Linked DNA regions of Tamandua tetradactyla. The protein of the gene in region 4 binds, or shares a complex with, the protein of the main gene of each other region. Links are inferred from orthologs where the notes say so. Each region holds a gene or a part of one and is shown on either strand. Other genes may lie near its edges. The genes, in order: NLRP5, KHDC3L, YWHAG and TLE6.

Region 1 (6,875 bases), on a different chromosome or scaffold from region 4:
TTTAGAAGGTAGAGCAGTTGAGATCCTCACCATCCCTTCCCCCACCCTATTCTTAAGATGTGGATGAAAATAAAGGTTCATCAAGGTCAGACTCTGTGATACACAACTTACATCTGGGCAAGTTCACCTGGAGCTGACCTTAGTGCTCTGCTGAGATGGTCCACAGTGAGCAAGGTAGAGGTGTCAGAACTTCCTTATCTGAAATCAGCAGGTTCAGAGGTGGGCTTGCTGTTGTGTAAATCCAGAGAACCCAACCACTGACTGTACTCCCCAAAAGGGCCCTGAGTCACTTGCTTTGTGAGGGCACTAAGGGAATTTACCAGTGACGGAGTTCCTGGCATCACGAGAAGAGCTAGAAGTAGGATAGTGCTTCCTACCCTTTGTGGCGTATTGTATTACACCTGGCTCTTTAAAATACCTTTGCCTGGTTCCCAGCCTCAGAGAGGCAACCTAAGTGGAATGGGGTGTGGCTTAGGCATAGGGGTTTCTTGGCTTGCTCAGCTGATTCCATTCTGCGGTGAGGTTTGGGAACCTTTGAAACAGGCTTCCTGGCAGCAAGGGAATGGTAAGAGCATGATTTAGTAGAGGCCAGGTAGATGGAATTATCATTTTGGGCAAAGTGGCCAGAATGGTAGCCAGACATACTTACAGAATCAGACACCCTTCTTGGTGGTGGCAAAGAGATTGTAGTGTTGCTAGGGTGAAGTAGGTGGGCAACTACCAAAGAAGATATAGGACTGGGTGAGCAGAAGCCTCGTGCCAGAGCTGCAGCTCTGTGAAAACCATTGTCTCTCAACAGATTTCCATATAGTCCCCAGACCCAAAGCCACTGATAGAAGGGCCCCTTGAGGCAGACCCTGCAGACCACATCAAGTGTGAACAACAGTGATTTCCACATGGCCATCCACTAGGCTAACCCACTGGGAATAGAATAGTCAGGGCATTCAAGGACTACTGGATATAGCATTTGAGTCAACACCGTCATCATGAGACAGAGGGTACCATCAAAGCCCCAGGTTGGATGGAGGCATGTGGACACCAGGGGATAAATCAGGCCTTGGCACAGTAGGTCCAGGGGGTCTGAAGAGGGTCACCTTCACGGCCCCTGAGTGTGTAACGGAGATGGTCATTCCATCGGCTCCCTGACCTCTGGAGTAAAGGCCATAATGGTAGAGAAAGGCCCAGCAGAAGCCCTGGAAACTAACCCCCCCAGGCAAAGACAGCATCTCAGGTGGAATGCCAGAAATCAGTGCCGCCCTCAAGACGTCAAGGATCCAGGGGAGGTGGTCCCTGTTACATCCCTACTTAATTGACCAGGTGAGTCCTGGGCTCAGTGGGCTCCTGTTAAGCTTAACTAAGTGGAAGCCCCAATTGCAGTTGCTGTGCCAGCTGTGCCGTCTTAAATAGGTCAAAAGAGCCATGGGATTTGGTATGGCGAAAGCACTCCTTCCAGTCTTACCAGAAATGTCAGGAAGAGGATCAGAAGTAGTTCACATTGACTTGGGAAGGACAGAAGTGTATATACACTATCTTGCTTGAAAGTCTATATTAACTCTTTTGCTTATGTTTACATTATCATCCAAAAGAATCTTGAGCTCTTTGGACGTTCTATAGAACCTCATCCTGGTCCACTATCATCAATGAGGCCATGTTCATAAACAGATCTCCATAAACATGACCACTTGATTTATGGCAAGTTGACATTGCAGAGGACTGGGGAAAGGATGGAATTTTCAACAAATGATGCTAAATCAAATGGACAAACACGCAGAAAAAACAAGTCTGAATCTCTATCTCACACCACATACAAAAGCAATTCCAAGAATATTGTAAATGTAAATACAAAAGGAAAGACATTATACCTTCTAAAAGTTAACATAGCAGAAGATGTTTGTGACCTAAGGAAAGAAAATATTTCCTTTCCAAAAAAAAAAACGCATTCACCAGAAAAGGTAAGTTACAGATTGAGAAAAATATATATATTTTCAGTATATATCCTTGAGTTGTATTCAAAATAAATATGTATAACTCCTACAAATTAATAACAGAAAGGCAGACAACCCAATAGAAAAATGAATGCAAGACTTGAATAAACAGTTTCCTTGAGAGAATATCCACATGTCCAATAAAAACTACTCAGCCCCACCAACCATCAGGTAAAGCAAGTCAAAACCACTACACAGCCACCAAAATGAGTGAAATTGGAAAGACTGTCCACAGCAAATGTTGGCAAGAGTGTGGAATAATTGGAGCCCCCATATTTTGCCCTTGGAAGTATAAATTGGAGCAGCTACTTCGAAAAACTGTGAGGATGAAACGGATTGAAAACATCTGTGCCCTCGGACCTAGCAATTAAGCTCCTACTATATATTCAACAGGTATGCATAAATATGTTTACCAAATGACATGTATGAGAATGCTATTAGGAGCATTATCCATATTATACAAGAAGTGGAAACAATCCAAATGTCCATCAGCCATATGATATACAAAATGATGGTGGTCGTTCACACAATTGAATACTATCCGGCAATGAAAATGAATGAAACGCTGCAATGCACATCGGTGTGGATTAACTTCACAGGCTCAACAGGCAGGTACAAAAGAATGCACCCTACAGTTCCATTTATCTGACTTCAAAAACAGGTAAAATTATTCTGTGTGATTGGAAATCAGGATAGAGGTTATCTTTTTTTTTTCTTTTACGTGGGCAGGCACCAGGAATCAAACCCAGGTCTCCAGCATGGCGGGCGAGAATGCTGCACTGAGCCACCTGGGCCACCCTAGAGGCTATCTTTTGAGAAGTGCAGAAGTAGTTTCCATGAGGGGGCATGAGCAGGGCTTTTGAGATAACAGTCATACTCTACTTCTTCATCTTGTGGTAATTTATAATTCATCAAGCTTTACATAACTTGTGATGCCCACACGTTTCTGATGCAATTATATAGTGATAAAAGTTAACTTAAAATGTTCATATGGCAATCTCAGGATGATGCAATCTCCAACTTATCCACAATGAGCTTTGGTTATATTTATAATACAAAATAAGTAGATTTTTTTAGCCAGCACATTCATTTGTGTACATTCCATATGACTGAATCTAATAAAGTGAAAGTTAGATATGGCATAAATGCATCAAAGAAATATAACAAAATTTTGAGAATGGTTTTCTCTAAGCTAAGCTGTTATATATAATTGTATATAATTTCTTAGCTTAGAGAAAAAATATATAATTTTTCAAAAGAGATTATATAAATATTTCTTTTATGGTGGAAAATAAATTTTTGTTGTTTCACACCAATTGATCTATTAATTCCACTCTAAGAATTTGTCTTGATGAAGTCAGACTAAAAGGGGATAAATATTTACATACAAGGATCTCCATTCAACATTATAACAGTGGCAAAATTAAAACAATCTAAAGGTACAACTATGAGAAGATAATTATGCTAATTAGTAAAACCAACGGTAAGATATTATACACATCATTTAGTCATTTTAGACTATTGTCAGTAAGAAAGTTATTTATAAAATGAAAACTAGGGCAGGCCATGGTGGCTTATCAGGCAGAGTTCCCGCCTGTCATGCTGGAGACCTGGGTTTGATTCCCAGTGCCTGCCCATGCCAAAAGAAAAAGAATAACTAATATTGTGTACTCCACTATTCCAATTCTGTAAGATTATGATATTGATTGATAATGTATCTATTTATGAACACACATACACATGCATATATGTCATAAGGTTAGGGGACTATATACGTGTATGTTTTTGTATATATACTGAGAAGGAGTGATATTGATTTCTCATTTATACTTTTTTCTATCTCTCCAATTTAAAGCAGCAATCATGAATTACCCAGGTAATTCCAATTTCAGGTTGTAACAAATATATTTAATGAAATGATTGACAGGACTTAGTGACTGATTAAAATTAGGACTACAACGAACTCCCCTCTGAGTTAAGCATTAACGTGCAGACTTCAGCACACGTGGATAGTGTTTCTGATACCTGAGGTGGGGAATTGAGAAGGAGAGAATGTAGGCGGAGACACTCATTGGATAACAAACAAGAATGCATGCTGTGTACCAGACCTGTATTGGGCACTGGAACTTAACATTTTGAATTGGATATGTTGAGTTTTACATGCACGTGGAGCATCCCACCGCAGGCCGTAGGTGATAATTGGAAGACTGGGTCTGGAGCTGAGAAGGCACCTGCCAGAAGCCATTTGGGAAGCATCAGCATGTGCTCGAGGGGAACATCAACATCAAGGGTGGTATAATCTAAGAGGACTGGTTCAGAGTCAGGACCGTGAGGAAAGCTGATACTGAAGAACGGGAGGCATAAATGAGCCAAACAGACCAGAAGTAAAAGTCAGGGTTAGGAGTTCATGGGGACTGAAGATAAGAGAGTTTTATGTAGATAATAGCTTGGACAAACAACAGCAGTAATAATTCGAGGGAATGGTTAGTAAAAGCCGATTTATTGTAATATAAAGAACCCCCACCACCACCATACGTGCGCGCGCACTCACACACACAGAATTATTGCTCCCAGGACAACCAGGGGAGGGCTGTATGCAGCCAGAGGTCCTGGGCACAGGTGTATGAAGTGTACAAGGAGTGTCCTCACCACCAAGTGGGGTGAGGGGTGGGAGAGGCGGATAGGAAGACTCAGAGCCTGCAGGTGCAGAAAGCAGGTGTTCTACTTCTACTCTGAGCATGGCCATTTGGAGCCCGTTGCATCCAATGACCAGAGATGACGTCACTGGCTCAGGATTCCCTACTGACCCTCACCACGTGGGTGTGGGGCTGGGCCTAACCTTTTTTTTCCCACCCAAGATTGCCAGTTGGCCCAGAAGTGGGATTTGAGCTTGGAGGTGAAGAATCCAGTCGGTGGGTACTTTCTCCTCTCTTGTTCCCAATGCCTTTCGTTCCCCCCTATTTTTTTCATTGCTGATTACAGCCTACTTATTGGGCCCTGTAACATGCCCCTGTGCCTCCTGTTAGGCTACTCAGAGACAGGGGTTCAAAGACCCCTTTGAATGAGTGAAGTCCCGTTTCCCCATTGTGCTCAAAAGGTCCACCTTTGAAATACATGAGTTTGTGGGAATCTGGGTAAGCCCTTCACCCTTTCCAGACTCTAAGTCTGAAATGGAGGGCAAAGTAGGGGTGCTATAACTCAGGTCAAGAACAGATAATCCCGGGACTGAGGGTGTTACTGTATCAATCGTGCTAATGGTAACTGGTCAACTTGATTCACCATTACTGAGGGGCTATGCAACATGGGGGTATCTTTCCTTTTATTAAGTGAGGAACCCCAGTGGTGGATAAACTAAATGTCTTTCCTGGGGTAATAAGTGGTGGAATCAATATTCGAACCTAGATCTAATTGATTTCAAGCACTTTAATCTTGCCTGCTTCTAGTGAACCATTCAAGACACCTGTGGAGACAGATGTACCAGGAGAGATAGGAAGTATAGAAGAAGGAAGGAAAGAGGCAAAGTGAAAGCTTTGGTAAGTCATTTGTCCTCAGAAGGTAAACTTGACTACCCAATTCTAATTTATATCACTCCAACCTACATCATTCCTGGGTTGGAATAATGTCCTTCACTCCACCCTGCCAGATTTCACAAGAGGAAGTGTCTATTTTAAGGTAATGCCACCACCTGGGTTCTAATTAGATCCACGTGTCCTTAGAGTTTTTCAGTCAGTTCCTGCTCTGTGATGGAATGGGAAAGAAAGAATGCTAAAATCAGGTAACTATTCTTTAAAGGTGTTCTCATGAAACAGAGAGCAAGTATATAGCTTCCCAGAATGTTGGCTTTCAACTCTGTCGAGTGGGGTCAATAACACTCTTTATATCTCAATGTTTATGTGAGGATTAGATGAGATGATGTAAGTCACTTCAGACGGTTACTTAGAAATGTTCTTTGTTCTTTCTCTTTAGCCTCCAACTTTTATTTATTCTTAGTTCTGTGTAAGGAAGTTTCTCAACCATCTAATCCTAAAAATAAACGAACTCTCCTCAGAACATACTGATTTCTTGACCTACCACTGAGGTTTCGCTCTTATTATTTCATCGTTCTGCTATTTTTCCTCTAACCTCTTCAGTGAATTGTTTGGTGGCAACATTTATTCAATTTGTGTGTATGTAAAAGTGTTTCTATATGGCAATCTTAAATTCATTCACTTTTAAATAATCTTTCTTTAACTGCTTAATCCAATCGTTGAAAGAGCCTCACCCACAGACACAGAAACTTAAACAATTAATTCTAAAATCTCAATGTGACCCCAGCAGCAGCTTAAATCTGAGCACCCTTTTACCTAGAATACTCCTTCACTTGGAGTCTTGCTTCCAGAATGTGATTAGTAGACCAGATTATGGTTAAAATTCGCATGCGTGCCCTACACCAGTCCTTTAGCTGAATGCTTTGCTTGTTAACCTCACAGAAACCCTCGGAAATTTAGGTACTCTAGTTCCAATTTTCCAGAAAAGGAAACTCAGAGAGGTTCAGTCACTTGTCCAAAGGGACATATCTGAACTTCAACTTGGAGCTGTTACTCTGATCTGGGAGCCTGTGGTACCTGTAACCATAGAAATATATTCCCTCTCATTGAATTATCTATGTAGAATCTGTACTTATAGCCTCGGGACTATGAGTGCACTGGTCTAACTGGCTGTGCTAACTGCCATCTGCTACGATAATGTTAATAACAATTCATTGGAGTAGGACATGATCTGGGGTAGAAAGAAAAAAATGGGAGGATGCAGGAAATAGCTATTATCTTCTCGAGGTGGTTGTTCAGTCCATAACAATTGTCCAGTGAGTGCTACCTCTAAACTGTTTCGGGAGATACCCCTCATAAAAGA
Region 2 (6,715 bases), on a different chromosome or scaffold from region 4:
CTTGTTTCTTACCCTGCTTGTATGGTGCCTTTTCCCTCGCCACCCTTAGGAGGGTTTACGTAGGTATTATAGACTCCAGCTGGGTTTTCTCGGACTAAACTGGCCTCCTATCAGGGGGAAGGGGTCACCTGCATCCGTTTTCCCCGAGGGCGAGACCCAGCAGGTTAAAAGACTTTCCTGTGAAGTCTCTGGGCTCTGTTTTTCTTATCCTGCCCAGTATGTGGCGTGTCTGCCTGCGGGTTGCACCAGCAAAAGATGTTGCGGCACTTTTAACTTTGGAAGACTGTCCCTGCTGGGGGCATGGTGGAGACAGAGGAGAGGTTATAGGCTGATTTTAATGGCTTCAAATTGCCAAGCCCTGGGGTCTGAATTCCTTGAGAGAGGGATTCCACCTGAGTTGGGCTTCACCCCTCCCCTGGGGAATGCACAGGTGGGAGACAGCCCTGAAAACAGCCTGTTTCTGCCTATGCCTGAGGCAGTTGCAGCCTGAGAAGTCCCGCTGCTGAATCCAGAGGCTGCCAAGTCTCCGTAGAAACACAGCCACTAAAACCTGTTTCCTCCCCCTTTCCTTTTTCTGTGAGCCCAATGAGCGAACGCCACTTGACCAGGTTTAGAATCTCTTTCCTTTTCCTCTGGGAAGCCACCTGTGGGGGACGGACGCCAGGCGCCGTGGCTTGGGGAACTCATGGTTTTGGGGAGGCTTGCAGCCGGTCCAGCTGGTCCAGACTGGGGTACGCTGTGTGTTTGGTCACTGATGTGGCTCCGGGAGCTGTTCTGTACTGTTTCTGGTTATTTAGTAGTTGTTCTGGAGGACAAACTAAAACGCGCACATTGCTAAGCCACTATCTTGACTCCTCTCCATTACATCTTGAATAACAAGGTGATACCTACTTAATGCGTAAGGATAACCTCCAGGATAACCTCTCAACTCTGTTTGGAATCTCTCAGCCATTGCCACTTTGTCTCATTTCACTCTTCCCCCTTTTGGTCGAGAAGGTTTTCTCAATCCCTTGATGCTAAGTCTCAGCTCATTCTAGGGTCTTAGGCCTAATTTTATGTAGGCTTGACCTATCCTTTGTGGGGTTAAGTTTCATATGAACAAACCCCAAGACTGGGAGCTCAGCTATAGCTTTGGTTGTCCACACGGCTTGTGAGAATATCAAGAATTCAACTTGGGGAAGTTGAATTTTCCCCCTTTCTCACCATTCCCTGAAGGGGACTTTGCAAATACATTTTTATTCACTGTTCAGATCACTCTGGGATTTATTGGGGCATCACTCTGATCCAATTAGCTTTTTAGTTCCCAAGTCTTAATGATTACCAGACAACCAAGACAGCATAAAGGAAACAAATGGAAAAGAAAAGAAAAAAGAGCATATAGGGGATCAGTCCAGAAGGCCAATGTTTTTTTTTCTCAATGAAACATTAAAAATTTTATTGAAAAGTAAAAAACAGTGCTGTTGCAGTAACTTAGTTAGCTCAAAGCAAAGAAATGATAGCTAATATTAACTTTCCAACTTTCTCACAGGCATAACTTTTTTAAATTTGGTATAGGTAATTTTTAATCTTTTTTTGAAAAAGTTATACGTGCTTTTATGAGGATTTAATAGTCCTTCAAGACCCGTTAAAAGAAGATTCTCTTCTACCCCAAACTCCCATTCAGTACTCTAAGTAACATACTTTGATTACCAGCCCTTGATTTTTCAACTTCCAACAGGTAAAGAGGAGAACTATCTCCTCCACCATCCTTACCCATCTTTTCCAAATCACTGATCCTTCCAGTAGTTTTGTTGTCATTTTGATTAAAACAATATTGGGTATTTACATGAATATTATTCATAATTGAACAACGCAGTATACTATAAATACTTTCCTATGCTGATAAACCTTTTCGCTTTCTCTGGAGTTAATAAGTTTCACCTTTGCTTAGCTCACTATTACCATTAATTCAACTCCAATCTCCCCCCTTGCCCCCTATATAACTCTCCTCTCAAAACACTGAAACATATTGACTATCAGAAGGTCAATGTTTGAATAACAGGAAGTCTAGAAAAAGAGAAGAGGAAACAGAAGGAGAAAAAACTATTAACAAAATAATTCAAGAATATTTCCCAAAGATTAAGACCATAATGACCACTGAAGTTAGAAGAAAATGAAGCAAAGCACTAAATTATGAGGGAATTTTCTTTTTCTAACCCAGAATTTTATAGCCAGCTAAATGTCCAAATAACTATGTGGATAGAAAAAATTTTTTTCCTAGATGTAAGGACTCAAAATTATGCATTCTTCCACAGAAAAAAAACTAGAGAATTTGAGCCCAGGATCCAAGTCAAAGATAGGATTTGGGAATTCACAGGAGGGCCCCAGAATGCTGGCCCTGGAGAGCAGCTAATTTGGATTGGAGCAGTTAAGAAAATTGCAGAAGTAATGCTGACAAGAGGTACTTGAAAGTACTGAGGGGAAATTTATACAGTTGGAGAGAGTTTGGAAATAAAGGAGGAGTACATAGAAAAAATCAGCATCTGAACCAAAAGGCAATCAATAACAGCAAGAAAAGCAAAATTTTGTGCAAGAGAAAAAAAAAATCAATAACTTATATGCTGCCAAGAATAATATTCACAAAGTGTTAACGCTGAATATTTATCTAAGAAAATCATGATGTGATGAGATTGGGAGGATACCCGATCTGAAGTATGCAAGTAAACTGGGGAAGGGAATGAAAGATTAGTATAAATATGTGTGTGTGTGTATTTTGATGCCCTGGGAGTGGTTTCTGTGCACCCGAAAATGTATCTAGAGGCTTCTTTGAAAATAAATATTTGATTTCTAAAAATTATAAAAACCAAACCTTTAGCCCTTCCTTAAGGCTTTCAAGTTTCACTTTCAAATATTCTCTTTAAAAAATCTAGAAAGTTTCAAAATTACTTTTCATGTCCTCTGAATGATACCAGATTCTACTGACTAATTTAACTAAACATCTTCATACATGTCAAAGAGCTTTGCAAAGTACTTTGCTCATATCTATTAACAAATAAGGCCTTCCCAACTACTAAATAATACCTACATATCAAATTAATATTATTAATGTGGTGGACCTTAAGTTCTCTTCAGCGGTCCAATGCTAATTGTAAATTAAGATTTCATCTTATAGCCACAAATCTATATCAACTACTTAACTGCATATTTTAAATTGGAGTTGCAACACTGCCTCTTTAATAGCCTTCTTATCTAAAATATTACAAGAACATAAAACATCATATGTATGATTTCTTTTCTTTTAACTGCTTTGAAGTATAACTGAAGTACAATTAACAGCACATATTAAGAAGTGTGCAATTTAATCATTTTTGACACATATAAATACAACCATGAAACCATCACAGCAGTTGAGATACCACACATTCCCATCTTCCATAAGAGTTTCCTAGTGCAGAGGTTTTCAATCCATGTCTCCTTCCATCCCTGACCCCAGGCAACCACTCACCTGTAGGCTTGCATATTCTAGGATTTTATTTAAATGGCAGATTCCTTTTTAACACAATTAGTATTACTACGTTTTTATTCTTATATATTATATATTCAATACTGAAACTTTAAGGGCATGAAAGATCTTTATTCATACAAAAAGTTGAACATGTTTAGAACTGCCAATATCCTCTATGCTGTGAAACAATGGTATCAGTCCTATAGCCTTATAGTAAAAGAAACGCATCTGATCAGAGATTTTCACTGGGATGCTTCCTGGAGTGTTGGTGACACCGATGGGACCTCAAATTTCGATTTATAATTGCTATGGCAGTGCTGGTGTTACCTCACCACCTCCAGAGGAGGTGGTTACTGAGCCCAGATCCTTGAGTTTATATTGTACACTCATCTAGTTGTTCCACCTACCCACAGAAGTCTACCACTCCATCCTGTGATCGTTTGAATGAATTTATGTATAAATACTTATCTACTTAGGTCTCTGCTTAAGTCTGACCCTAAAACATCCACAGCTTTTCCTGCACTCCCACCAACAGTACAGGAAGGAGGCCTCTGAATTCTGATGACCTCTCACCACTGGGTCTGATAAGTACTTCCCAACTACTGACTCCGGAGCTATAGTTTCACCTTCCTGAGTGAGTGGTTAACTGATAATGCCTTAAGCTGGAGAGGAAACTCAAGAAATGGAAATATTTAGCGTTATTTAGAGAACTGAGGTGTCAAAAAAGGCTTCAAGTCGACCTTCCTGGTGTCCAAATTACTTGGACCGTCTGCTACTGGGTGTTTGTGTGGCCGTATTTAAGGCTTACCTGTGCTCAACTGGTCTCTAAATGTTACTGGAGAAGCTGGACAGTGGTGGTCCCTGGGGCCGGTACTCGGTGGCAACGGTTCAGGAGAAAAGGGAGACTTGCCTTTAACCTTTGGACATTGTTTTTACTGCTTAAATTTTTGCTTTTTCCAGCTTCTTGAATTAGGTTTTCCAATAAAATTATGTCAACCTCTCAGGAATGAGCTGATCCCACGGGAACTGTCTGAGTAGCACCGGATCTCCACAAATACCACTTTGCTTCACTCTGAAATATTTTCTCCATTTTCGCTCTTCTCTACCTTTCTGAGTCCACGGTTATGTCCACCGTGTGCGCCTGAGAATCGAGGTGGGGACCTGTGCTGGCTCCTAAAACTCGCAGCTCCAGCTGGCAACTTCCAGCTGGCTGCTAAAACTCGCAGCTCGGCTTTCCTTTCCCGCGGCTCTGGGAAGAGGGCGAGTTTCCAGACCGAATGGCCCCACGGAGAGCGCACGCGGAACCTGGCGAGCTTCACCACGTGACCGCTCCGGGGCTCCCAGCCCGCGCGGCCCGAGACCTGAGGCACGCCAGCCGCAGCCGCCGCGGGCCGCTCCAGCTCCCTCGCACGGCCGCGGAAAGATACGGGCTGCTGGAATTAGGGTCCAATGGGAAGGGCGCGGGGTGGGGAGGGGCTTGCCAAAAGCCCTTGATTTAAGGCCCAGGCCCAGGCTCAGCTTCCGCGGCCCATCCCCGAGTGCTGCCCTTCGGTTCTCCCTCCCGCGCTCGCTGCCCGCGAGGCCGGCCGCAGCATGGCTGCTCCCAAGCAATTTCCGACGCTCGTGCAGCTGGAGCAGGGAGAAGGACAGCGTTTCGAGCAGCTCGGTAATTTCGGCAACCCGCCCTACTGGTTCCACCCTGAGTTCCTGAAGAATCCACGAGCAGTTCACGTCGAGGCCTGGCTTGTAGAAGAGATCTTCGGTGAGTAGGCTTGGGTGTGGCCGCCATAATGCCCTCCTCCCCATTCATTCCCCCCCACACACACACACAATCCGGCCCGGCCCTGGGAAAGCCCGTCCAGTGCTCTTGGCCCCCAAGCCTGTGCCCCCATGGTCTCCCTCGCCCCCCTTCCCCTCAAGTCCCCAGGAGCCACCCTGCTCCTCACGGCTTCTCTGCTCCCTGCGCAGGCCGGGGCGGAGAGCACATCCCGCACGTCGAGTGTGCGAGCCAGACCCTGCTTCACGTGAACCGGTGGGACCCCGGCGGCGAGGCCGAGATTTTGATATTTGGACGGCCTTATTACCAGCACGACGTAGCCAGATTGGTCATGAATTTAGCAGATTATCACCGCCAACTCCGGGCTCAAAGTACGTGGCTGGGGAGCAGAGAGGGGTGCCCCGGACATTTTCTGGGTTCCTTGGGAGGGATCTTGATAGTCCCCCGCGGCCCAGACAGCGGTTTCCCCCTCCCACTGGATCCGGGAGAGGATTTCCTCTTGGCAAGGAATCGGGAATACCAAATTGGGCCCCAGTTCTGAGATTCCGTGGTAGACTCCAGATTAGGAACAGCTCACGGCTCCCGTCTTCGTTGCACGTATGGATGACTGGACTTTTGGGGAGGGGGAATGGGGGCGTAGGGGCACCCTCCTCATGCTGCTTGTCTTCCAGGCCCAGAGAAGGCCCCTGCCGAGGAGGCCGGGAAGCAGCAGTCTGGAGAAGCGGCCGCCCAGGAGATCGGGAAGCAGCAGCCTCAGAAGGCACCTGCCCAAGACTCAGTTACCAGATTGTGATGGCAGCTCGGCCCCGGGAAGGGAGACAAGCAAAAATTAAACTGAAAGCCTGTTCTTGAGACCTGTTATTCTAGGTCCTGCTTCGGCCCTAGAAATTAGGGAAATGGTGTAGGTGTGACCTCCCCAGTGTTGAACGTTTGCGAACCCGAATCTAAAGAGTTCTAATAAAGAATCAAATTTCCCTAAGCGTCTTTTAATTAGAAGGTAGAAGAAGAGGGGGAGGTACCCTCCCCCAGCACTCAAGTTCTGCTCTGTGCCACTATCAGAGGCAGGTGCGACCTTTTAGTTCCTGGCCACCTCTGCCGTCATGCACCTCTCCTGCTTGTGATTTTTAACAGTATGCAGCTGGCGCTGCTTGGATACAAGGCCTCTAGGGTGTACTGAGTCAGTCCTTGCTGTGAAACCCAAGTCCCAGTTGCCCCCAGCAGCTCGTGGTTCTACTCGAGGAAATTTGAAATGGTAAAAACCTGATTGCAATCTCTGCCCTGAGGCTGGGGCCCTGCTGGACTGGGAAGACCCACCCGGGCGTACCATGGTATGGCAAGTAACTTCCTAGCCCTGGCACCTGACCTGGTGGGTGAAATTGTGGGCGAAAGAGCCAGGGCTGCCCCATTGACTTCGTTAATTAAGTCTTGCCGGGGTTACCATAACTTGCCTTAGG
Region 3 (7,860 bases), on a different chromosome or scaffold from region 4:
GCTCAGCTTGGAGAGGGTGCCTTTTGCCCCTGCCTGTCCTTAGGCTCACAGCAAGGATTTGGTGTTGAGTGTCTGTGCCTACCTCTTGTCCCCTGGTGCAGCCTGGGCTCCTGCCTGCCTGCTGTGTCAGCACCAGTGTTCCTATTACATGTCCAAGTGGGATGTGTACTCTGCAAGCATTAGTGCTAGGCTGACTCGGGAGAACAGCCAGCAGGAGGAAATGCCAGCTTCCCTACCCCTTCTAGTTGGCCCCAGGAAGGCCTCATGGCGGCTCCACTTCCCCTTTAGGCAACCCAGCCTGGCCTTCTTCAGAATTAGTAGGCAGAGCCTTTCAAGGTCATCCCTGTCAGACCACTGGTGGTGGAAAAAGCTCCAGGAGAGCTTTGAAAACATACAGATTCCCAGGCCCCACACTTGGAGACTCTGACCCAGGCATTAGGGGGCCAGGCTGGGAACCACACTCGGCATTATACTGGAGTGATTGGTTTTGTGGTCCTGCTTATCCACTGCTCTCTGATCCCTGATTCCAGGTCCTGCCCTCTCCAGACTTGGCCCTTGTCAGTACTGGACAGCTCCAGATGATGAAGAAATTGCTTCCTGGATTGAGGTGAAATTGGTGGGCTCTCTGCAGCTTGGATTCCTTTAAAACCAAACATCTGCCTCAGCCCCCTCACTATGAGTCTCCCATGAATTATTCTTCCTTTGTTAGAGTTCCAGGTCTCAAAACAATCACTCCAGAACCCTCTACCAACTCAAAGGATACTGCCACTCATTTCATAGAACAGGTTGGGGAATCTAAGGTCCAGTTTGGTGACGCACGTAGCCCAAGCAACTGGGTTTAGGGAGAAGAGTCAAGCCTAGTTCCTCTGCTCTGAAACCTCTGTCTCTTGAGAATGCATGGTCTGACTCTTTGTCTGAGACAGCGGCCCACTTTTTATGGTGACCCACATTCCCTTGGTGGGGTGAATTTTGAAGTTATCTCTTTTTTGTAGAATGGAAAACTTAGAATGTAAAGATGTATTAAACTGTTCATCTTTCCTTTCCCCAGCCCAATCAGTTTTAAGAGCTCTTAAACTCACATTTTTAGAGTGAGGCTCTGGAGTTAGAGAAGCCAATTTGGTGACAAGCAGTCAGCCCCAGGTGACTTGGAGCAGAGAATTTCCCTGTCAACAGGACCTTCAGGCAGCCACTGAAGAGGATGGGAAGACTCCAAGGCAGGACAGTTGGAAAGCTTTTGCAAGAGGCTGGAAGATATTAAGAAGTAGTCCTCCTGCTCTTTTTACAAATAGACTCATAACCTGACACCTGGAGAGGTAAAGTGACTTGCCCAGGACCATCCAGCAAGATCAATAGTAAAGTCGGGGCCCCTCCACTGCCCTGGAATAATCAGGAGGAGATACAGCCCACTGGCATTTCCCTGTCATCCTCTGCTTCTGAATTTGTCCTGTGCTCTGCCCCTGTTGCAGCCCAGCCTGTTAGGGCTATGATGGGGAGGTGTTCCCAGAGGGCAGGATGGAGCATTGCAGGTCTGCTTTGGAAAATGCTACTCCTGCTGCTGCTTCCGCACCAATCAGGGAGCTTTCCAGCCGCAGGAGGAAGCCAGGAGCCAGGGGATAGGGCTGCAGTGATTTATGAGTGCACAGAAACAGCAGGACACTAATGTACCTGGCTGGACTGCTTGTCTGCCAACTCAGCCAGAGAGGATGCACTTAAAGGTCATATTCTCCCTCATTGGAGATGGGGACAGAAGGTTAGCCATACAAGGTGCCTACCCAGTGTCCCTGCATTAGGACTGTCACCCGAGGGCAATGCCTCTCCTTTCCTGAGCAGATGCCATGGGGTAGATCCTCATGGCCCCGGCAGGAAGGGCAGCCTTGCTACTGGGAATCAGGAAGATCTGCCCTGGCTTGCATTCAGGCCCTGCCAAAGGTCACACAGCCCCTCTGAGTCTCAGTTTCTCTCTCTAAAAAACAGGGACAATTCTGAGTTTCTCTACCTTTGGAATTTGCCCCTCTCTCACATCTGCAGGCACAGACTCCTGTTACCACAGATAAAGAATTCTAGTAGCCTTCCATTTTATAAGAGGCACATGCTGAATCTAGAACCATGACTCATCCTGGATGGGTGGGGCCCTTAATGCTTTTTCAGTTTAATTTCTCACTTTAAAGGTGGGGAAATTGAGACATGGAGAAAGGACAGGCCTTGCACATGTTGCTGGGGACCAGGCAGAAGCCAGAATAGTAGTTCTCCACCTGTCTGCTCAGGTTTCTTTCAGCAGTACCAGGCAGTGGAGACGGAAGCCCAGATATTAAGCTATTCCCTGCGGGTAATGTCGCCCTGCCTCGGAGGCAGTCCTCTCAACAGCCAGAGGCTGCTGGGCTGCTGTAGCTTTAAACCCAGAGCCTCAAAAAAATCCAACAGGAAAGGAGGGGCAGGGCCAGTTCCCCCTGCACTGTTGGAGGGAAGCCTCGATGTAGAGACTGCAGATGTCATTCCTGTTTGGCTCTCGAACATCCTTTTCTTTGCATCTGCTTTACTTTTTCCAACTAGATTTGGCCTGAGCTTTTTTTTTTTTTTTTTTAAGCATATTGGTCTGGTGGGGGAAGGAACTGAGGGGAGAGGTCAGAGAGGCAGGGAGAAATGTGCCAGGAAGTTCCCAAGATTTAGCATCTGGGCCTGGACCAGTGACACATTTAATCCATCTGTGGACAACCAGGGTTGGGTGTAAGGGCTCATTTCCATGGGTTCGTGATGCCCAGACTACAGTGGTTCATGCCAGGCTGCAGGGGGGGGCAAAAGAAAGAGAGGAATGACTTGGTGAACCACTCATGCAAGAGACAGAAGGAAGTGGGAGGGTTTATTCACCAACAGGATTGCATTTTGCTGGGTTGGTGTGGTAAGGGAAGAGGGGCCAAGGCAGATGCTGTGTTGGAGGAGAGTCAGCTATTTTCTGAGTCTCTCTCTCCACTCAGTCCATCTCTTTACCCTCCTGACAGAGCAGTCTTCCTGAAGTGAATTCATTCATTCATTCATTTCCTTATTTCCTATGTCCCATGTGCTTACTAAGTGCCAAGTACTGTGCCAGGCACCGAGGAGTCAATGGTGATGAAGCCATCAAAATGCAGCTCTGATGGTTTTCTGCATCCATCTCAGGCATCCTATTTATTTCAGAATAAAGACTTAACTCCTTAGCCTGGCATTCAGGGCCCCTCAGGTTCTGACTCCTGGCTCCATCCCCAGCTTCACTGCCCATCACCTGAGTCACCAGACACATCAGATTCTTTGCCTGCCAATAAATATGCCAGGAAGGAACCTGCCTCTGAGTCTTGCTGCCTCTGCCCTCTGCCTGCTTTCAAATCCTACACATCCTTTAAGAGCTGGTCGGAAATGCTGCTTTTTAGAACCTCTTCCTACTCTTCCTATCCAGCCTGGAAGAATTTTTTATGAATACTTACAGTACTTAAGACATGCTGAATTTCTTGAAGGCAGGGTTCCATGCTCTCCTCTTCCAGCATCTAGCAGTGTCTGGAATATTCCTTCACAGAATCTCTTTCATTCTAGGTTCACATAACCCCGCACTTCATCTCCCTACTTTATGTTTCGCTTCGTATCACTTTCCAACATAGTCTACATATTGATTATTTATCTTGCCTGTTTTCTGTTTCCCCTTTAGAATGCTAAGTTCCATGTGGGCCAGGAGCTTAAACTGTTTTGTTCACTGCTGTACCCCATTGCTTAGGACAGTACTTGGTACATAGTGTGTGGTCAATAGATAGTTGTTGAATAAATGAAATAAAGAAAATTTGCAGTCAAAACTATGGAGTGTGTGGGAGCTACCCGGAATCTCAAAAAGGGAACCCTATGAGCTAGGATTTGTCGGTCTGACCTCAGCGTGTATGTCCAGACACAACCTAGTCCTAAGCATAGCCTAGGTAGGCTCTTGGTAACTGGCAGTGGAATCTGCAGCACTCCATCCTGGAGAGGAAGAAGGAGCCTCCAGGGGTCAACCTGCACACAGCTGCATCCTTTTTGTAACTTGACTGGTATGCCGGGCCAGTATTTGTCTTTCATGTTTTCACCATATTTTTACCGAGTCAGGCCCCAAAACCTCAGGGTGGGGATGGGGAGCTGGCTCCTTGGAGGAGGGGGTGACAGTCCCCCACGGTTTGGCCTCTTAATTCACCCATCCCGCGGGCAGATCCCACCCTGACGGTTTGGCTCTACGATGGAGGTACCCTCTCAACCTCCATGGCCTGCTGCTTCACCTCGGAAACAGGGCCCAGAGTTGAGGCCCTTGCCCCTTCCCTCGTAATTTCCCGGGGAATAGGGGGCGGGGCCGTGAATCAGCACTCACTCGGGCAGACGCAGCTCTCATTCCCGCCAGGGGTCCCCAGCGGCCGCCAGATTTAAGTCCCCTCCCCATCCTCCTCCGCCCGCGCGCTCCACCCGCTGGGAGATGTAGTCTCCATTGCCCCTTTGTCCTTGGTGGGTCCAAAAGATCACCCCGCCCGAGGGTGAACTACAACTCCCAGGGGCCCACGCGCTGGCGGCCCGGCGGGGCGGTGGTCTGGAGGGGAACGGGTGGGGGTGGGGGTGTCTGGTGGTGTTGGGGCGAAGGAACGGGGGTCAAGTGGAGGAAAAGAGGTGCTGGTGAGCTTCGAGGAAGGAGGGGACTGCCAGAAGAGGTGGGGGGTTGGGGCGGTGAGCTGAGTGGAGGGGGGACGCGGGAGCAGCGGAAGGAGCCGGGAGGGGCCTGGGCGGGGGCGCGCGGCGGGCGGAGCCCGTGCGTCACGCGGCGTGGGCGGGGCCGCAGGGGGTTGTCCGCCCGCGGCACGCACAGCCGCCGCAGCCGCCTCGCGCCGGGTCCCGCGGTCGCAGCTGGAGTCGCAGCCTCCGCGCCACCGCCGCCAAAGCTGGTCGCTTTGTGGGTCGGTCCTTCCGGCACACGGGCTCCCGCCGCGCCGCAGCCGCCCTCCGAGCCGTTCAGGCCGCCTTGGTCTCCTCGTCCGGCCCGACCCAGCCCGCGAAGATGGTGGACCGCGAGCAACTGGTGCAGAAAGCCCGGCTGGCTGAGCAGGCGGAGCGCTACGACGACATGGCCGCGGCCATGAAGAACGTGAGTTTCTTCTCCCCTCCCCCCGCCTCGCCCCAACCCTTTCGGAAACGTGTACCTTGGCCCTAAGGGCTCCGGGACCTGTCGCCTGTCGCGACTGCAGGCTCGGTCCCCCCTTCTCGCTCGCTGAGGGGGTATGTGGAGGGTCCAGATGGCGGTCGGGAGCTGGCTCGTGTCCTCTGCGCGTTCCCGAGGGTCGGAGGCGCTGCCTGCTCGGCCCTACCCGGGCTCAGGCTGGGGCGGGGTCTTGCGGGGCTGGTCACGGGAGCCGGGTCTCCGGGCCCCCGCGTACTCCGGGTCCGCTGGGGACCTGAGCGGGGCCGTGCGCATCCTTTGTGCCCCACTTCCCCTCCTCCCAGCCTAGGGCGTGGGGGCGGGGGACCGCATGGAAGCGGTTCCTCTTTCTCTCCCCGGTGTCTGGGCGGCGCCTTTCCCATTCACTCGGCAGGTCTCTTTTTCTAGCCGCCCCCCCCCGCCCCCCCGCTCCCTCCATCTTCCTCTTGCTTTCCTGCAGATCCTTTAGAACCTTTCCCAGAGAAATTCAGGCTCTCTTGAAATCTTGGGGTCAGTGGTGCAAAATCGTCGCCTTCTTGCTCATGTTTGACTTAACAAAAGGCTTCTCTTTCTCCATTTCCCAAAGCAAGTCCTCTAGGCTTTTAGGAAAGGGGACCGTCTGTTTCGTTAGCGTGTTCTTGTTAATTGTTCGAACATGCCGTTTCCATTTTTTCCTAATGCTTTGCATTGAAAAGAGCAGATAATGGCTTTAAAATAAAGGTTGTCAATTTGTGACATGCTGTTTTTTTTTAAAATACAGCCACGCGTCTGTTGAAATTCCTATAAGTTGAAAAAAATTCTTTCTGATCTGATACTGCAAACAAAGCGGTGGTGGGAGGCAGTATCAAGTCATTCCAGAAGATTCTGCATTTGTCATATTGCAGAGAGCCTAGACTGGGTGGAGGCTGGGAGGAGTTGTTTTAAAGGGGAAAATGTCTTTTTTTAATTTGCTTTGTTACATAGACTTGAGCCTTTTTTTTAATTTTAATTTTATTTTTTTTAAATAAAGCCAGTGCATCCTTAGGCTAATGAAAAGAGAATACTGTCCTCCAGTTGTCGCATTTTGTCTGGGATACAGATGCCTGCCTGTATTGCACCATTTTGTCAGTAACATTACATTTACCTAGTGAATGGTCAACCAGTTTAAGATTAAAGGAAGGAGGAAGCTTTGAACATTATTTGGAAAAAATTAATGATTTTGCGTCTCCCACTATCTTAATATTTAACTTCCCGTCTTATGTAACAAAGGTATTAAAATGCATCTCCAGTTTGAAATGAATGTAAGAGCGTACCTTGCATGCTAAATCTTTGTGATGAAACAATATAGATATAGAGGTTGATTCTTGAGTAACTACGTTAGTTCCCAGAAGATGACAGTGCTGATGCCTTTATATTTAAACAAGCTACATTAACAAAAAAAATTTTTTTTCTTATTAAGGAGGGGAATTCGATTCTGTGAATTGAGGGTTCTGGTGTATTAATATGCTATATTGCCACAGCTGCTATCCTGTAATATTTTAAAGCTCAAATGACACAAATTGCACTTTTAATAGATATCAGAATTGAAAATGTCTGTTCATGTTATTTAGATTATTTTAATTTTTCCATATCTCTAGTTTCACAGGAAAGCCAGTGACCTCGCACCTATATCCATAGCAACCCAGTGATGTCACACACAATGACACAGAGGCTGCAATGCACCTAAGGGCTGGTAGGGAGTTTGCAAATGGCATTTGTCCAAGGTAATGCAGAAATTAGTTGATAGTGGGATTGACTTCATCTTTCTCCAGATAAGAGCTCTGCAATAGAATGGCCCTGTGGGTCCAAAAATAATGAGGTATCCTTACATATGCACATTAGTGACCTCTAGATAATGCTTTATTGAAGTTCCTATCTAGTTTTCCCAGGAAAGTTTGTAAGATACATTCATATTTTTACACACTCATTTCACCTATTTAAGTAATTGGCCGATTATGGAATAAAAACAAATTTTAAAACGAGTATATTTTATAATTGTGTGGAGGGGGCTGCATACTTAGGATTATTACAGATACTTGGTAGATTTTGATAAAAACTCAGAATTATGGCTGTCCTCCTGGGTCATTAGATGATGAGACCACATTACAAACGAGTTATCAAATTCATTTTAGATGGATCTTTGGGAAAATTGTCTTGCTGTATTTTTACTTCTCTGACAGAGTATGGAGAAACTTAAAACCTTTTCAGTTATGGTGACTTTGACCCTCACTTTCCTAATCTGTAAAATGGGGCAATACCTGTTAGAAAAAGTTTGTGAGGATTTAGGTGCTCAAAAATGGCAATTACTTGCAAAACTTTGTTTCTTACTGTATAAAAGTGATCTCATCATGGAAAATTTGGAAAATACCATAAGGTACCAAGTAAATACTTAGTGGTACCACTCAAGTGATATATAGGTAGCCAAAAGGCTATCTTAATTATATATTTTATAAAATCTTTCTAGTGGGGTCAATAGGCTTTAAAATTCTTTTTATCTTTTTTCTATTTTTTTCTTCTAGCCCTCCCAGGAGACTAGATCAATGGCTATTATCATTAATGGAGTATTGACACCTCTAGAGTCCTCAGAGGTGGAATTTTGCCAACCATTATTCTAAGTCATGTGGCTTGAATTGTTCTCTCTTGGAGGAGTGGAAAGAATAGAGTAACAGTTTGCT
Region 4 (7,736 bases):
GTTTGTGGCATTGTGCTACGGCAGCCCTGGGAGACTCAGACAGAATCTGAGCTTTTCCGTACAACTGGGAGAGGGGGGCAGATGTAGGAGATTCAAGACCTGATTTCTGCCCCACCCCCACCCCATCAAAGGCCCTGTGGTCCCTTCTGCAGCATCCTGCCCAACCCCAGTGGGGACAGGTATCCAGAGGGCACGCAACGACCCCTGTGGGACGATGCCACCTGCAACCAAGGCCATCCGAGGAAAAGAATTACATAAAGCAATGTATGGCCATGGAAGCAAGTACTGTGCATTCCACTACCCATTAAGTAATCATTTGTTGGGCACTTACCCAACAAGACAAAAAGAACTGGGGAATGAGAAAACATCACGGAATGAGGCATCCAATTATGAACACACGAGTGATGAAGTGCTGGGGGTGGGAGAGGCCTCTCTGAGAAGAGATTTTTCAATTGCATTCTGGATGGCAGGATGTCTGCTGCGCTGTAGAGAGAAAGCAAGTTTCAAACATGGACAGCTATTCAGTGGTCCAACTTTGAGCCAGCGAAGTCACTTCCAGATTCCTGACCTTCAGAAAGCGTCTGAGATAATAAATGCATATTGTTTGAGCTCATTGAGCTTGGGGGCCATGTGTTATGCAGCGGTTAGCTAACTAATGCATCTGGGTTTCTTTAGAAAGGAGAGCTGGGTCCTGAAGCTCGAAAACCTATACCTGGAATGGATGTAACTTTCTCCAAACTTGGGCCCATGAGGAAGTCTCATCTAAGGCCATCAGATGGGGTGTTTGGTGGAGGAAACCAAATTGGATCTTGGTGTTATGGTGTGAGGCTTCTGAGCAACATTTTGGAGCAAGATGGCCTGGGTTCAAATCCTGACTTAGCCACTTAGTACCTGTGTGGTCCTGGGTAGGCCACTTAACCTCTCTGTGCTTCAGTTTCCTCTTCGTTAAAATGGGGCCATGACGGTCCATGGAGGAATTAAACAAGCTCCCATATTTCAAGGCCTTGGAGTAATGTCTGGCACCTAAGTCACATGTGCCCAAAATGTGACTGCCTTTGATTTTCAGTGATGAATTTAATTTCTCATTAAGCCTCCTTCCACCAGGAGGCAGAAGGCAAACCTCCAAGTCCAGGTAATCTCAATAAATTTGCTTTTCCTACAATAGGGAGAGAGTGGCTAATCTTGTCCCTTCCCCATTTGCAATCATTCTTTCCATAAAGTCTCTCCTTACCAAGTTCAGATTTTTTTTTCTTTTTTATTTGATACCTACTTCCTCCAGCCCAGGGAACCTTTTCCAGCCTCAGGCTCTGATCAGTCCTGTCTTCTCCTAACCTTGAGGCTTTCTGTATTTTATTTGTTGTGGTGGTTTTGGGAAAGCAAAAGTTCCAAAGCTTTTGGAATGTGAACGCCTTTTCTCTCAAAACTGTCATCCAGGCCCAGAGTTTCCAAGTAAACCTTAAAAACTCATAAGCCAGGAATAAAATCTTTGCTTCCTCCCTTCCTGTCTGCTGTGTCATCCTTCCTTGCTGGCCAGCCTGGAAAATCCAAGAAATCATCAAAGGAAGACCCAGGAGTGGAAAACACACCAAGTTAAGCTACCAAGATATGATCCCCAAAAAGAGACTTTTAAACAGTGGCAATTGAATGATTACTATAAAATCTGCGGATTTCTGCAGACACCCAGGATTTTTTTTCTTGCTTGCTTTTTTTTTTTTTTGAGATTCATTTTTTGCCACTTACCTGAGATCCATCTGTTGAAAAGGCTCTTCCTTTTCTCCGCCCCCCCTTTTTTTTTCCACATGAGCAGGCACCAGGAATCAAACCTGGGTCTCCAGCATGGCGGGTGAGAACTCTGCCACTGAGCCACTGTGGCCCGCCCTACTTTTTTTAAATGTAATTTTATTGAGATATATTCACATCCCCTATAATTGTACGATCAGTGGTTCACATGTTATGAATCTATATAATACATAAAAATAACCTCCAGGATAACCTGTTGACTCCATTTGAAATCTCTCAGCCACTGAGACTTTATTTGGTCTCATTTCTCTCTTCCCCCTTTTGGTCAAGAAGCCTTTCTCAATCCCATGATGTCAGGCCCCGGCTCATCCCAGGAGGCCTGTCCCACGTTGCCAGGGAGATGCATACCCCTGGGAGTCATGTCCCATGTAGGGAGGAGGGCAGTGAGTTCACCTGCCAAGTTGGATTACAGAGAGAAGCCACATCTGAGCAACAAAAGAGGTTCTCTGGGGGTGACTCTTAGGCATAATTATAGGTAGGCTGAGCTTTCCCATTGGAGGAATAAGTTTCATAAGAGCAAGCCCCAAGATCAAGATCAAGACTGGTCCATCAAATTGGCATCCCCAGTGATTGTGACTTCTCCACATGGGGCAGTTTAATATTTCCACCTTTCATTTTTGAGAACCTCAGATCAGGACCGTTCAGTGGAATTGGGGGGCTGAAAACATTTTTGGATGAAAATATCCAGTCTAGGAGTCTCCAGCCACACATGGCTACTGAGCCCTTGCAACTGACCAGTGCAACTGAGGAACTCAGAAGTTTTAATTTTATCTCATTTTAATTTAAGTAGACACATGCACCCAGTGGCTACCACTTGAGACAGTGCAGCTGTAGATAAACGGATGTGCTGGGGGAAGAGGCATAGAGGGAGGCAATTAGCAGTTGGTCCATAAATAAAATACACTTCAATGAAGGACGGGTTGAGGGATTGGGGGTGAAAGGCTTTCTGTATCTCCTACAAAACAGCTCTCACTTTCTCCTCCATACACCAGCCACAGAACCCACAATATTACATGTTTACATCATAACCTCCGGGTGCTAGAAGGGTGTGGTGAGTGAGGAGAAGGAACCAGGGGTGGTAGTGATGGCTCTGGATGAGAATCCCACCAGCATTACATTGATTTTGAACACAGGCCGGGTTTAGAGCCATCCTGTGAAACCACTGTGATGTATCACAAGGTCAGCTCCAATCCAAATCATACTGGAGAAAAATAAAGCAAAAAAAGGAGACTAAGGGGATTGGTTTTTTTTGTTTTTGTTTTTTTTAATAGGGATCCTCAGTGGAGGATTCACTGAGGAGGTGACCTCTGAGCACAGAGCTGTAGGAGGTGAGGGAGCAAGCCAGTGCAAAGGCCCTGGGGCAGAACTCTGGACAGACCAATTACCATCTGCAATAGGCATTTTAATATTGGCCCAAAACAGAACTCCTGAACCCCATAAATCCCACTCCTATACCCACAGGAGGCTTCCCTGAAACACACCCCTCTGTCCTCACCTCCTGTTATCATCCCTTCTGGAGTTTCTTTTTTGCCCCCATCCAGTCCAAACCGAAGTGGTCCAGTTATTCCCCACTTCAGAGCTTTAAAAAAAAAATTATTATGGTAACATCCACATATTTTCATTTTAACCCTTTCCAAGTATATGATGCATCTATGTTTATTACATTTGCAGTGTTGTTCTACCATCAACACTAGCCCTTACCAACTCTTTTCTATCCCCCTCAACCTCTGCACCTATTAGGCGTTCACTCCCCATTCCCCACACCTAACCCCGGACTCTACTTTCTATCCCTACTAATTTGCATCTTCTAGTTATTTCATGTAAGCAAAGCCATACAACATTTATCCTTTTGCATCTGGCTTCTTTCACTCAACATGAGGTCTTCAAATTTCAGCCACATATTAGCGGAGACTGGAAAGTCCTTCCTTTTTACTGCCGAATGATATTCCATCGCCTGCGTGGACCCCATTTTGTTTCCCCACTCATCTGTTGATGGACACTCGGGTGGCTCCCACCTTTTGGCTTTTGAGAAAAATATCGCTAGGAGCACAGCTATCTGTTCAAGTCCCAGCTTTCAACAGTTTGAGGGTATATATATATATATATATGCTGAGACTTGGGATTGCTGGCTCACATGGTAATTCTGTATTTTCTGAGAACGGCCAGGGCCAAACTGTGTACACAGCAGGCTGCATCCTTTCACGCTCCCAACAACGGCTGCAGGCTTTCTGCCCTGGCTTCTCCCTCTGCCTGGAACGCCCACAGCTCTTTCCCACCGTAGACTTCAACCTGGCCTGCCAGCCTGGAGACATCTGCTCTTCCGCTTTCTCCAAGGAAGGGCAGTTGGGAAAATTCACTGATAAAACGCCTAGCCCAGAGTTTGGCTCACAGGAAGCCGGGGATAAACCGGAGTTGTTAAATTCTCTCCTGAAAGGGGCTTGATCTCGAGGTGCTGAAAACCCCAAGCCCCTCATAAGCTAACCCCTGGCCGGACCAAGCAATCAGGGTTCTTACCAGATAATGCAACCTTAGGCCACCCAGCCCTTCCCCCAGTTTCACCCTCTGACCCCTAAACCCCAGCTCCCCACCCCCACCCCCCGCCCCTTTATAGCCCCACCGTTTGCCAGGATCCCAAACAGCCTGCGGCTCTGCACGCCACTCTTTCCCGCAGCGGGACAGCAAGGGTTAAGCGAAGGCTCGCGGCGCTATGAGTGACAGCCTGGCGGGCGACCGCGGCAAACCGACCAATCGGGCACGGCGGCCGCGGCCCACGTGGGCAATCGACCTCGCGATTGGCCAGCGCCTCCGGCGGTCGCCTGCGGATCCCGAGCCCACGTGCAGCTGCTGCTCATTCATTGACCAGTTTCACGGACCAGGTGGCGGCGGGGCGGGGCCCGGGCGGGGCCGGGGTGGGGCCGGGGCGGGCCGGGGCGGGGCCGGGTCAGGTCAAATGGCCCCCAGGGGGAGGAGAAGCTTTCTTTTGGCTTGAACTTGACCGACCCTTGCAGTGCCGTCCCTACAGCTCCTGCCCTGGGCCCCCACCCTTGGGGAGGTGAGTTGGTGGCCAAGTTTCCTGACTGGGGAGGAGGCTGGAAGGGCCTTGAAGGACACAGCGAAGTAAGGAAGGGGCTTGGGGCCTTATGAGTCATTAGAGGCGAGAGAGGTTGCTTTGCTCCTGCCTGTTAAGTTCCTCCCATCTCCGCTAGCTAACTCCTACTCATCCTTCAAAACCCACTTCCAAAGATCTTCCCTGCTTTGAAAAATTATCTCAAAACCGAGGTTTATTTGGTTCGTATTCTGGGCAGAGAGTCTGTGTGTCCTATCCCACATCATAGGGTGAGGCCCAGGGCCCAGTCCTTTTTGGGTCCCCACTGTTAATCAGGACAGCTGGAGGCACCAGAGAGCGTTTGATGAATGAATATAGGTTTTAGGAACGCTGTGAGGAAGCTGGAGGTCAGGGGAGGGGTTGGGGGTACAGGACTGTGTCCTGGAGAGAGACAATGGTGTGTGGGGCAGGAGGCCTTGGGACACGATGGGGGTTGCTTCTCCCCCTGGAACTGCTGGGATTTCTGCTCTCAGGGGACTTGCCATCTCCTTTTTCCTTTCAGAGTCTGAAGATGACCTCTCAGAGCCCACCCAACTCCCAGGGGCACTCTGATGGGGTCGTGAACGTCAAGACAGCGGGAACCTTGGTGAGGAAGACGTGGTTTGGCATCAGCAGGGGGGACAAGCATGGGAGCTGCGGGGGGGGGGTGTCTCAGAAGTTAGGGAACTAGGGGGATAAGGCCTCATTCATTTCTGCTGCTCCCGATCTGTGAATCCACCTGTGAGATGGGCTAATGCTAGCCATGCCTCCCAGCTGGTAGTGTTCACCCATCACTGGCACCTGGAGTCCCAGGTGTCAAGACACTTTCTTTTTTAATTAAATTGACTTCTGATGACACAGGTGATAAAACACAGGACTACATCATCCAAGTTCATATTTTACAAGCAGAAGCCTCCCTCCTCCAGCCCTTCCGAGAACCCACTTTTTCTAGCAGTTTAGGGCAGAGGTGCTCAAACTTTTCTGCAAAAGGCTGGATGATAGATAGTTTAGACTTTGTGGGCCAGGGGGAAAAATTAAAGCTATTCTGCTGGTACTTAAATACCGAGAGAGAAAGCCAATTAACTTCAGGTTTTAGAAGGACCTTCCTTATCTCTACGGGGGTGGGTCAAAATCCCAGGGGACTTCAGGGTAGCGCTAAGGAGGCATCAGATGAGATGCTGATGAGACCTGAAAGTCTGAGCGCCTGAAAATCTTCTTCAGTTCTACTGACTTTTTTTTTTTTTTTTTTTTTAATCCAGGCTGAAACTCAGTCTTCTAGTTCCAAGGACCCTCAGGAGCTGACAGCTTTGGACAAACTGGAAGAATTCAAGTTACATTTCTCCAGGTGAGGGCGATTTGAGGCAGCCCTGCATCCCACCAAAAGGGGAAAGGATCCTTCCTGGTCCCTATCCTTGGGGCCCTTATGGGTGACCCAGAAGCCTCTGGGTCAGTAAAGGAGGTAGGGGTGGGGGGGTGGGGATCTGGGGGACCAGAATGGAGCAGATGGCAAAAGGAAAACTCAGTAATACTGATTCTGGCTTTTATTTAAAATTTTAATATTGCATTCAGCACGAAATGGGTAACCTTACATTTGACACTGTTGGAAAATATTGCATTAAAATCTTATTTTCTTGATCACTGAGCTTTTGGGTGCCACCGTAAATTTGGCTCTTGGAGTGAATATTTGCCCTGCAGTTGGGGTTGAGTTGAGGGGCCGGGGGGCTCATACTCTGGGGCCTCCTGAGCTGCTGCTTCTAGTCAGTCTTTCTTCCCCCACTCAGGTTTTCCCCCAAATTGATGGCACAGGTGGAGAACATTTACTGCTTGGTGAGCCAGACCCGGCAATCCCTCAGAGCAGGTGATGTAAGGGGAGGGGGGAATGGTGCAGGTACCTGGGCTCCCAACAGGGGGCTGCTGCAGCCCCTGGGCCCTGAAGGGCTGACCTCTTTAGCTTCAGGAATCCTGTTCAGGGACTACTTCCACCTTGACTTATTTTTTGCTTACTGTGGGCAAGCGAGTAATGGAGCCCGCTTCTCTGGGTGAGTTTTTCCCTTTACTGACTTTGCAGTGAAAACTAGAAATTCCATATTGAAAGTGAGTGATGGTTCAGACCAGGTTGGATGTTCAGGGATACGGCAGATGTTTGGAGCACTGCTCTTCGAGAATCTACCCGCTAATGCAGGGCAGTCTTCTAGAACTTTCCACCACGATGGGAATGTTCCATGGTTACAGAGTTCAAATTGGTACCTGCAATCCATTTGAAATGTGGTGATACAACTAAGGATCTGAATTCTTAACTTGATTTAATTTAAATAGTTTCCCTTGCTAGTGGCTCCTTCGATGGACAGCACAACTCTAGGTGTAGGGGAGACAGACAAGGTAATAGAGAAACCAGTTTCACAAACAGGTAACAGGGGCGAAAGGAAAGATTTTCTTGAGCTAAGGTAGCAGGAAGGGTTTATCAGAAGAGGTGTTAATCAGGATGAGACATGGAGGATAAGAGTCGGCCACCCCTAGAAAAAACAGGGAATAGTGTATCTGGCAGAGGGACTAGCCAGTGCAGAGGCCCTGAGGCAACACAGAGCCTGGTGTGTTGGAAGAACAGTGAAGAGGCTCTGTGACTAGAGTGAAGGGAGTGAGCGCGAGGAAAGGAGGATGGAGAGTGGACTGGGCAAAGGGAGAATGTTGACCTTCAGTTCCTGTTGAGAATGAAGTCCAGTGGGCTCCCTGATTAACTCGGGGTATAACAGGTAAGAGTAGGGACCAGAGAGGCAGAGTGATTTGTCCAGGGTCACACAGCTGGGGAGAAGCACATGTGCTGCTGACACCCCAGACTCTTACTCACCTCCAT

The links.
Region 1: the proteins of TLE6 (region 4) and NLRP5 are in contact, whole or in part, in a cryo-EM structure (PDB 8H94), measured with the Mus musculus proteins. The link is inferred for Tamandua tetradactyla from reciprocal best matches to the Homo sapiens genes TLE6 and NLRP5. Residues at the interface, in NP_444484.1 of Mus musculus: Pro147, Gln148, Pro149, Val150, Cys158, Gln159, Phe161, Leu162, Ile163, Gly165, Leu166, Trp167, Leu169, Phe170, Ser173, Arg174, Gln175, Lys176, Asn177, Ala247, Asp248, Lys249, Phe250, Lys252, Pro253, Ser255, Trp256, Leu261, Glu262, Cys265; in NP_035990.1 of Mus musculus: Gln185, Phe188, His283, Arg307, Glu326, Lys327, Lys329, Ser330, Ser334, Pro335, Leu336, Met444, Ala447, Glu448, Trp451, Tyr465, Tyr507, Tyr508, Glu511, Glu515, Asn517, Phe520, Phe522, Leu540, Met543, Lys544, Leu547, Val571, Lys574, Leu575.
Region 2: TLE6 (region 4) and KHDC3L share a complex: the UniProt entries of both Homo sapiens proteins name them as parts of the subcortical maternal complex. The link is inferred for Tamandua tetradactyla from reciprocal best matches to the Homo sapiens genes TLE6 and KHDC3L.
Region 3: the proteins of TLE6 (region 4) and YWHAG are in contact, whole or in part, in a cryo-EM structure (PDB 8XI3), measured with the Mus musculus proteins. The link is inferred for Tamandua tetradactyla from reciprocal best matches to the Homo sapiens genes TLE6 and YWHAG. Residues at the interface, in NP_444484.1 of Mus musculus: Phe137, Leu138, Ser139, Glu140, Ser141, Asp142, Leu144, Gln145, Leu295, Arg347, Asn430, Leu447, Gln470, Met472, Asn489, Asp510, Asn511, Thr512, Met530, Pro553, Arg555; in NP_061359.2 of Mus musculus: Lys50, Arg57, Arg61, Lys125, Asp129, Arg132, Tyr133, Gly174, Leu177, Asn178, Val181, Glu185, Phe201, Asp202, Ile205, Ala206, Leu208, Asp209, Glu213, Tyr216, Lys217, Thr220, Leu221, Ile222, Met223, Gln224, Leu225, Arg227, Asp228, Asn229.

What each region holds. Positions count from the first base shown.
Region 1 is NC_135342.1:3,519,118-3,525,992, reverse strand, and holds the start of NLRP5 (NACHT, LRR and PYD domains-containing protein 5), read left to right. Parts: upstream 1-3,848; coding exon 3,849-3,861; intron 3,862-4,843; coding exon 4,844-4,897; intron 4,898-6,875. UniProt on the Homo sapiens protein: Component of the subcortical maternal complex (SCMC), a multiprotein complex that plays a key role in early embryonic development.
Region 2 is NC_135331.1:129,252,915-129,259,629, forward strand, and holds KHDC3L (KH domain-containing protein 3), read left to right. Parts: upstream 1-4,873; 5' UTR 4,874-5,077; coding exon 5,078-5,246; intron 5,247-5,452; coding exon 5,453-5,632; intron 5,633-5,932; coding exon 5,933-6,054; 3' UTR 6,055-6,215; downstream 6,216-6,715. UniProt on the Homo sapiens protein: Component of the subcortical maternal complex (SCMC), a multiprotein complex that plays a key role in early embryonic development.
Region 3 is NC_135349.1:10,368,744-10,376,603, forward strand, and holds the start of YWHAG (14-3-3 protein gamma), read left to right. Parts: upstream 1-4,841; 5' UTR 4,842-5,029; coding exon 5,030-5,116; intron 5,117-7,860. UniProt on the Homo sapiens protein: Adapter protein implicated in the regulation of a large spectrum of both general and specialized signaling pathways. Binds to a large number of partners, usually by recognition of a phosphoserine or phosphothreonine motif.
Region 4 is NC_135337.1:79,425,922-79,433,657, reverse strand, and holds the start of TLE6 (transducin-like enhancer protein 6), read left to right. Parts: upstream 1-4,730; 5' UTR 4,731-4,852; intron 4,853-5,408; 5' UTR 5,409-5,417; coding exon 5,418-5,492; intron 5,493-6,144; coding exon 6,145-6,230; intron 6,231-6,666; coding exon 6,667-6,712; intron 6,713-7,736. UniProt on the Homo sapiens protein: Component of the subcortical maternal complex (SCMC), a multiprotein complex that plays a key role in early embryonic development.